Alligator mississippiensis: one gene and its partner. The protein of the gene in region 1 purifies or fractionates together with the protein of each later gene. This does not show direct contact. Links are inferred from orthologs where the notes say so. Each region holds a gene or a part of one and is shown on either strand. Other genes may lie near its edges.

Region 1 (3,909 bases):
CTCCCTGGCCCCTAGGGAAAGCTGCTGGGGTCAACACAGCTGCTGGCCCCGGCCTCCCCTCCCCTCCCCAGGGCAACCTGCGGTGTGCCATTGTGTCCATGGCATGGGCGTTCCCTGGGGACAAGGCAGTGGTACGAGGTGTGCTGCCGCTCCTCGTCCCCGGGGAACCAAACATCCGTGCACACCTGGACGCAGCCCCAGCAGAGTAAAGTGCTGCCCATAGCTCAGCACCACACTCCTGCAGCCCCAGCAGGATGCCTCCTTCCTGGGGTCAGGGTGCCAGTGCCTTACTGTGTGACATATTCAACCCCCACTTCTCTGGGCACAGGATTAAGTGGGGCAGCAGAGGACACCGGGGTGCAGCGTGGTGCCCCAAAGCAGTGCGTGTGGACAGCGACAGAGCTGGGGGAGGCGAAGGCACTGCAAGCTGTGCTTGCTCATCCCCTGCTGCAACAGCGCAGAACACGCCTGTGCAACAGGAGCACCGTGTGCCTCAAGCCGGGATGCTGGGCAGTTTGCCCACAGCTTGACAGAGGCGGCGGAGCAGCTGCTGGGGAGTCCCGCACCCCTGTGTCCCTTGTGCTGTGCCAAGGGGGGGTCACCACGCTCCTGCTACCCTGCACCACAACACATTGTGTGCGACAGAAGCGGGCCATGAGGGGGCCGCCATGCACGGGCCCACTCTTGCAGCTGCACTGCCCAGCCTAGCTTGGCCAGATCTTAAATACCAAACGATTGCATTGAAAGCTCAAAAAATGATTGTAATTTGCTGGGGGGGGAAAGTACCGTACCCCGAAAAATATGTAAAACAAGTATTTTTCTGTATGCTGCTCATGGTAAGCGAGAGAGCCAGAACCGGGCTATCCAAACCGAACCATTTATCTGGAGGTCCTGAGGAAGCAAAGCTGAGAGTCCCTGAGAGGGGCTTGTGGGGGTTGCAGATGCTGCACCCACAACCGACGGGCGCTCGAGGAGACGGGCTCAAAGCCTCGCACACGTGGCAGCGCCCACAAGCCTGCGCACGCACCACCCACACCACCGCCCCGCCCCGCCCCACTGACGCATGCGCACCCCCGGGTGGGTGACGGCGCGTTTGCGACAGCCGTAAGTGAGGCTGCGCGCGGCGCGACAGCGGCTGGGCAAGCTTGGCCCGTGCAGGGAGGGCTCGGGGACCGGGACCGGGATCGGGCCCGCGGGGGTGGCGGCGACAGGCGGACGGCCCGTGCCCGTAGGCCCGCGCTATGAGGCCGCAGCCGGCGCCCGTGTCGGGGAAGGTGTTCGTGCAGCGCGACTACAGCAGCGGCACCCGCTGCCAGTTCCAGACCAAGTTCCCAGCCGAGCTGGAGACGCGGGTAAGGCCGGCCCGGGGGCTGTCACCCGGGAGCTGTTATGGCGGCTTAAAATAGGACCGCCTTAAGTCCCCCCGGCACGTTTGGGTCACGTAAAGTAATTGCCAAGTTGGTCATACACAGTAATGGTAGTGGTGTGCGTGTCGCAGGTTGGAGGACACCGCCGAGTTGCTTGTCGCTTCCTGCTCGCTCCTCCTGGAAAACAGCATGTTTCACGAATGAGTGGTTCGTGCCAAGCACCTGCTTATTAAAGACATATAATTAAAGCCACGGCCGTGTGGGAGTGCCCCTGTTACAAAGCATGACGAAAGCCGCCAGATTGACCCTCAGCCTCCGGCTCCAGTCGCCCCCGAGGTCCCCGCTCTTAGCGTTTCTATGCTCGCGCCAGGGTGGCACGAATGCCTGCCGAGAGCCCGGGTGTTAAAGCTCCTGCGGTATGAGCTAAGGGCTGTGTCCTGCACCCCGGGCACCTACAGTGTCTGGGGACACGGGTGTGTCGGAGCGTGCGAGGTCACGCCACGCTGCTTTGACACAAGTGGCTTGGGAGGCTCGGTTTGTCTGACAGCAGCGAGATGAAATAGTCCCTGTCTAAATGGCCCAGAGCAGATGGCTGTCCTCCTGTGTTTACTTGACGCTGTTGTTTTGAGTGAGCAAGGCGAGTAGTCTTGTTCCCTCTACATGCTGGGTAGCATTGCTTTCCTGGGGGACAAAAGTCTGCAAAATGATTAGTTGTCTTCAAATTGACCTAAACTGATCTTTGGGATTTTAGCTGAAAGGGACATTTTGTAGTTAAATAAAGGGTAGGTTCCTGTGGGCAGGGAAGTAGAAATGCCCTCCACACTCTTGCTTCTTGCCTATGCAAACAGTAATTAGAAAATACCGAACTTTGAATGTGATGTAGAAATCTAGACATACAAATGTGCCTACAAGTCTAACTTCCAACAATTATGAAACCCTTCTGTTTTGATTCTCTCTCTGATCTGTGCCCTTGTCACAACACAAAGGGCAGCCGGGGCACTGAGAAATAAGGCATGTATTGTTGTATAGAAACCCATCCTCTGACAAGGCCGTTCTGTTGAGCCTGCGCTTCAGCAGCATCACAAACACCCTCTTATATTTTCTATCAATGTGCGGGGTTTTGTTATTTGCAACACTTCCTTCAACTAGTGGAGTAACTCCTCCTGGTCAAATATTTTGTGCATTTCTTGTTGTTGGCAAATATCACTTAGGCTACGTTTGCCTTCTCTTTCACATCAAATCTGATACATCTTTGTTTATATCACTCACAAGCTTGATTGGCACTGGAGCAACAATCCCCCATACTTGAGGCCTTATTCAGATAGAGATTTGCCTATATGCTCTTTCATTGAATAGTGGTTTAAATCCCGAGTCTGTTTCCCTCTGATCTGTTCTTTTCACATCAGACCCCAATTCTTATCTGTGCTCGCTTGCGGGCACAGCATTTCAGTTGTGGTAGAATTCATTCTTGATGTAATTGCTTAGCTGAAAATTGAACAAGAGCTGCCGTTTTTGGAGGCCGTTTTATACTAAACGGAGCTGTGGCTCTCTCCACGGTGCCTGTTTGAAGCAAACGGTCTCTCAGTGGCAGTGTAGGTTACAGCTGTAAAAGGTAAAAGTGAGGTGGATGTCTGTACAGGAGGTCAGTGGAGCTCACTTGCTGAGCATGCTTGCTGAACTTGGACTTTTCTGCAGATCGATCGGCAGCAGTTTGAAGAGACTGTGCGAACTCTGAATAACCTGTATGCAGAAGCCGAGAAACTTGGGGGCCAATCTTATCTCGAAGGTTGTCTGGCCTGCCTGACTGCCTACACTATCTTCTTGTGCATGGAGACACATTATGAAAAGGTAAGCCAGTTTGATTTGCTTTATGACCTGAAAGACAACACTCAACACTACATTAATTGAAGACTTACTTCATTTACAGTGATGAGTAGCACAGTGAAGTCTCTAGTACAAAGCCGAAATAAACTCTCATGCCAGACCGACTTCCTGAAATTCCTTGTGTGTCAGATCTGCTCCCCTCTTGCTCAACTGTTACGTATGAAATAGATTCTGTTTGACTCTCCACATAAAGGGCGGATTTCATGCTGTGATCATTTTTCCATTTTACTCACTTTTTATCTAAATACACAGTGTCACACTGAAACTCTCACCTGACAGTTCACTCATGAAAACTTATGTTTGATTAAATATACCTGGCCTATGGTGTCCCTTGTACAGGCTGGGTGATTTGCAGGAATTCTTTATGGGGAATCAGTCATGCAGTCATTTTGTGATCCTCGTAATGGACTGAGGTGAGGGAGAGGGCATCTCCAGTTTCCCTTCCTGGGGGCTTGGCGGAGATGCAAATGGGATCTGAGCTGGATATCTGTCTGGCTTGCTTCCATTTATTCTTTGAAGAAAGTGGAGATGTGCCCAATTCAGAGATAAGAAACCAAAGACTTTGGACAGAAAAAGCTTCCTGAGCTGAGAAGTTGGGAGGGGTTCTTACTAGCCTGAAAGAATAGTGTTCAGTATGGGCAAGACCTGGGAAGCTTCA
Region 2 (3,909 bases), on another chromosome or scaffold:
CCCAGGAAGAACTTGCTTCCCCAACCCCCACAGCAAGCAGTTGCTCTTAGTTTGATGGGGGGGTTTTTCAAAAGTATTTATTTAAATAAATAAATATAAACTCCACCTCCACTCTGCCAAGTGGCCCTTGTGGTTTACTTGGCAGCTTCAAGCACACTAAAAATCCATTACACAGTTTGCACTGCACCTATCCCTATACCAGTACCCCCACCCACTGCTCTCCTCACAGGGGCTAATCCTGAAAAAGTCTATGCCAGACCGCTCTCCACCAGATGAGGCCTGCCATTTCTTTCCGGTCGTCCTCTTCTTTCTGTAGTACCAGTACATTTCACTTAGTCCCATTTTAATACAGTCCTTGGCTGCGGGGTCCAAGTGCCTGTTTGTGAGCAGGTTCCTGGTTTTCCACAGTGCAGACCTGAACAGCTTTCTTTTCACTGAGAGTTCATCATTAAACTGCGGTATTCTGAATCCCCTCCATCCACTGGCGTCTTTCTATGCTAGCATTTTCCCTTTACAACCCTGACAGGTTTGTGGAGGAGTGAGTCATCCTTTTTACCCCTCCTCACCTGTTTTTTCCTCCTTTTAGGCCTCTATATTGAAACGAACCAACATCATTATGCAACACACACCCCAATAAGTAGGCCAACACGCAGCATTCAGACTTTCTTACACTGGTACTGTTGCAGCTCACCCCACAGCCATCTCCTGCTGCAGCCTTAGAGGCAATCGGTCCATGCTGCAGGGCGCTCCCTGCTACTGAGCCATCACCCTGTCCTGACACAGCTGCTTCGCAGTCGCGCTGTGTCCCCGGAGCTCGGGGTTGGCGACCTTTAGGGCTGAGGGCTGCTGCTGTGGGCTGCCAGTCCCCTCCGGGGCACCTTCCTCCGCAGTGCCCCAGCCCTCCCCACTCCAAGGCTGCCCTCTCTCGTGCCCCGCTGCTGCAGCTCCCGCTTGCCCTCGCCCGTGCTGGGCAGCGGGGGAAGCGCAGGGAGGCCGGGGGGTAGCACCTGCGGGCTGCTGCAGAAGTGACGGGGCAGGGAAGCGCCTCCGCCACTGCACGCTGGCACGTGGGGGGCTCCGGGGCCCGGTGCCTGCCTAGGAGCTTGTGTAACTCCATCCTCAGGTGCAGCAGAACCGAGAGCTTCATCGCCGAGCCAGCAGGACGCGCAAACAAGTAGGTGGACGCTAGGACCCGGAACCCTGCCTGAACAACCCGACTTCCGGGCGGGGGAGACCTTTAAAGCGGGTCTACCTGAGCAGCCAATACCAGCACACTTTTGTCATAGGAGTTCGGGGCGTGAGGGCTGATTGGTTACGCTTGCTATCAATCAGTTTTGAGCAATACCAAATGCGGCCTTCTGGCATAGGGGGGAAGACTTCAGATCTCCTCCACGTTTGGTCGCTGGGCGCATGCTCAGAGAGCGTCTCTTTCCCCCTCCCCCCTGCCCGTCTCTGACTTGGCGCAGGCGCAGACCTGAGGAATGGCGAAGCTGGGGAAACGTCCACCCCCTGCACCCGGCCCATAGCAGCCAATCAGCGCTCACGGGGGCGGTGCAGGCGCGGGCGCAGGCGCGGGGCGGCGTGCGCGGCCGCCACCAACCGGCGGCAGAGCAGAGCGGAGAGTGGTGCGGCGCGAGCCCGACCCCGAGCGCGCGGGTGGGGGCGCGCGGCTTCTTTGCTGCCTGGGCCGCGTGGTCGCACCGGGCCGGGGCCAGCGGGTAAGTGCGACCGGGCACGCCTCACCTCCGCCGGGGCCGCCCCACCCCCGGGACAGCGCTCGGGCCGGGGCCGGGAGCGGCCTGCGGAGAGCGAGGCCGGCGCCTGGCCCCCCACGGCGCCCGGTGACAGCCCTGGCCCGACCCGGCCCGGCCCGGCTGCTTGCTCCTGCACTGGGGACGGCCCCGCCCCGCCCCGCGGAGCCGCCGGCCAACAGGTCGCAGCGGCCGGGCCGGGCCGGGCCGGCCGCCGCTCGGGGTGTCTGTCGCCCCCGCGCCGTGGCTGGGCCGTTGGGGCCGGTGCCCGCGCGCGTGCCGGGCGCTGGGCAGAGCCGGGGGCGGGTGGGCACCGCTTTGCTGAAGTAAAGGTGCGGTGTTGCCAGCGCCTCGGCCCGGCCCGGCCCTGCCCCCCTCCCTGCCCGGCCACGCTGGACCAGCCCCAGCACTGAGCAAGGGGGCAGGCAGGCCTCTCTCTTCCCTGGTTCCTGAGAAATGATCTGCTCAAAAGAGAGCCCGGGCCTCTCTGCTTCTGATACGGCCTGGTGGGTCCCTTCTCCCCCTTCTCCAGGCCCTTCCCAGAGCCTCGGGCTCTTCCTTTGGCTCTAAATGCTGGCCTGTGCCCGCTCCTGCTGCCTGGGCTCAATCCAGTAGCTCTCCACGGGCCTCTCTCCATATTTGTTGTGGCTACATACAGATATTTTGTTGGGACATGTTTGAGATCACTTTTACCCGTGAGCTATGAAACTGTTAAAATTATAACCCCAATGCAGGCTGGCATATAACCCCACATGACTAGTTTCCAGTGTTATGTTATATCCTCTTGAGATAATGCCCCCACATTAAATTAAGGCCGACATTTAAGTCTGTCAAACTTTACCTGTTCTGCCTTTTCACTCTGCTCACAGATCAAGGGAAAGCAGACTTTGAATGCATGCATAGCTTACGTGGATCCTGCTTTCAGGAAATGGTTTCTTGTAACGTTGTCTTATGCAGTTTGAAATTTCTCTAAGCAGTCTTATTTTAGATGGCGTTTTTCTGGTTGGTGTCATCCCATTGTGAGTCTTTCTGGATCAGCAAATGTAACTAAGACTTTGTCTAGATTCAGACTTAAAGGAGCGATGTTCAAAGAAGCTTGATCTAAATGACACTATCAGACTCTAGTCAAGGCCAAGTAACTGTAGTTTTAGGAGGAGGCTCTGATTCATCCTAGTTTCTCCTAAAATGCATTGGATTTTTCTTGACTAGCCTGAGATGGTGTTAATTAGTTTGAGCTTTCTAGCTTGGTGTAACATCACACCTTTTAAAGCCTAGACTAGATTAGGCTGATTTATGGCAGGCTGTGGAATGTGTCCATTGCTTCTGCTCCTGACCAGTACTTCTGGTGGTAGTGAGTCTTTATTGATAGGACACAAAATATGGAGTTCGTTCCCGTCTTTGTGAACCAAGCTGCAGCATGGGTAAGACATCCCTGTGCTTCACCTGTAACATAGGGAGAATCCTTTGTAAAGCATTTTTAGACCTGTGGATGGAAAGTAGGGTATTAGTGTTTAGTAACAGTACAAATTACGGCAGCAGATACCACTCCTGTTAGCTTTGGAGTCAGACTTTGGTCGCTTTGTTTGTGTTTCCACTTTTCTCCAAAAATAAAGCTAAGTACATAACACTATATCCAGGCAAAATGTGGGTGTCACAATTGGGACTAGAAGTAAGGAAATACAAAAGTTAGTCCTCCACAGCATCATTAACTTGTCTGCCCTGATATGAGCTCATATTTTCTAAAGAATCATTTCTTAAAAGGGAAAAAGTAGAAGAAAATTGCCTTATTCAGGAGCCAACAGCCTTTTACAAGTTGCGGCCAGAACAACCTGACTCTGGTGCAATTCTGTTTGGGTGGCTTTTGCAGCATGTTGATAGCAGGGGAGCTTTCCTCATGCCCACTCTGGAGTTATGCAGCTGGGAGCAGCCCCCACACTACCGCTGCTTCTCCCAGGGCCCTGATCCCATGTTGTAGGCCAGGTACATTTTCCAGCCAGTGTGGCATTGCACCAGGAGCAGATATCTGCAAACTGTGTCTGTGTTGCTGCCGTTTCCCCCCTTCCCCCTGCCCGTTGCAGTGTAGGCACAGTCGGAACCTGCGTGGTCAGCACAGTTCCCAACCAGTTGGAAGCTCATCCATGCCACAGCAGGAGGGAGG

Evidence for each region.
Region 2: the proteins of GOLGA7 (region 1) and ZDHHC5 purify together in Homo sapiens (co-immunoprecipitation; 3 studies listed by BioGRID and IntAct, with this or other methods). This does not show direct contact. The link is inferred for Alligator mississippiensis from reciprocal best matches to the Homo sapiens genes GOLGA7 and ZDHHC5.

The regions. Positions count from the first base shown.
Region 1 is NC_081830.1:17,408,336-17,412,244, reverse strand, and holds the start of GOLGA7 (golgin subfamily A member 7), read left to right. Parts: upstream 1-1,115; 5' UTR 1,116-1,241; coding exon 1,242-1,352; intron 1,353-3,062; coding exon 3,063-3,215; intron 3,216-3,909. UniProt on the Homo sapiens protein: May be involved in protein transport from Golgi to cell surface. The ZDHHC9-GOLGA7 complex is a palmitoyltransferase specific for HRAS and NRAS.
Region 2 is NC_081825.1:172,569,842-172,573,750, reverse strand, and holds the start of ZDHHC5 (palmitoyltransferase ZDHHC5), read left to right. Parts: upstream 1-1,558; 5' UTR 1,559-1,718; intron 1,719-3,909. UniProt on the Homo sapiens protein: Palmitoyltransferase that catalyzes the addition of palmitate onto various protein substrates such as CTNND2, CD36, GSDMD, NLRP3, NOD1, NOD2, STAT3 and S1PR1 thus plays a role in various biological processes including cell adhesion, inflammation, fatty acid uptake, bacterial sensing or cardiac functions.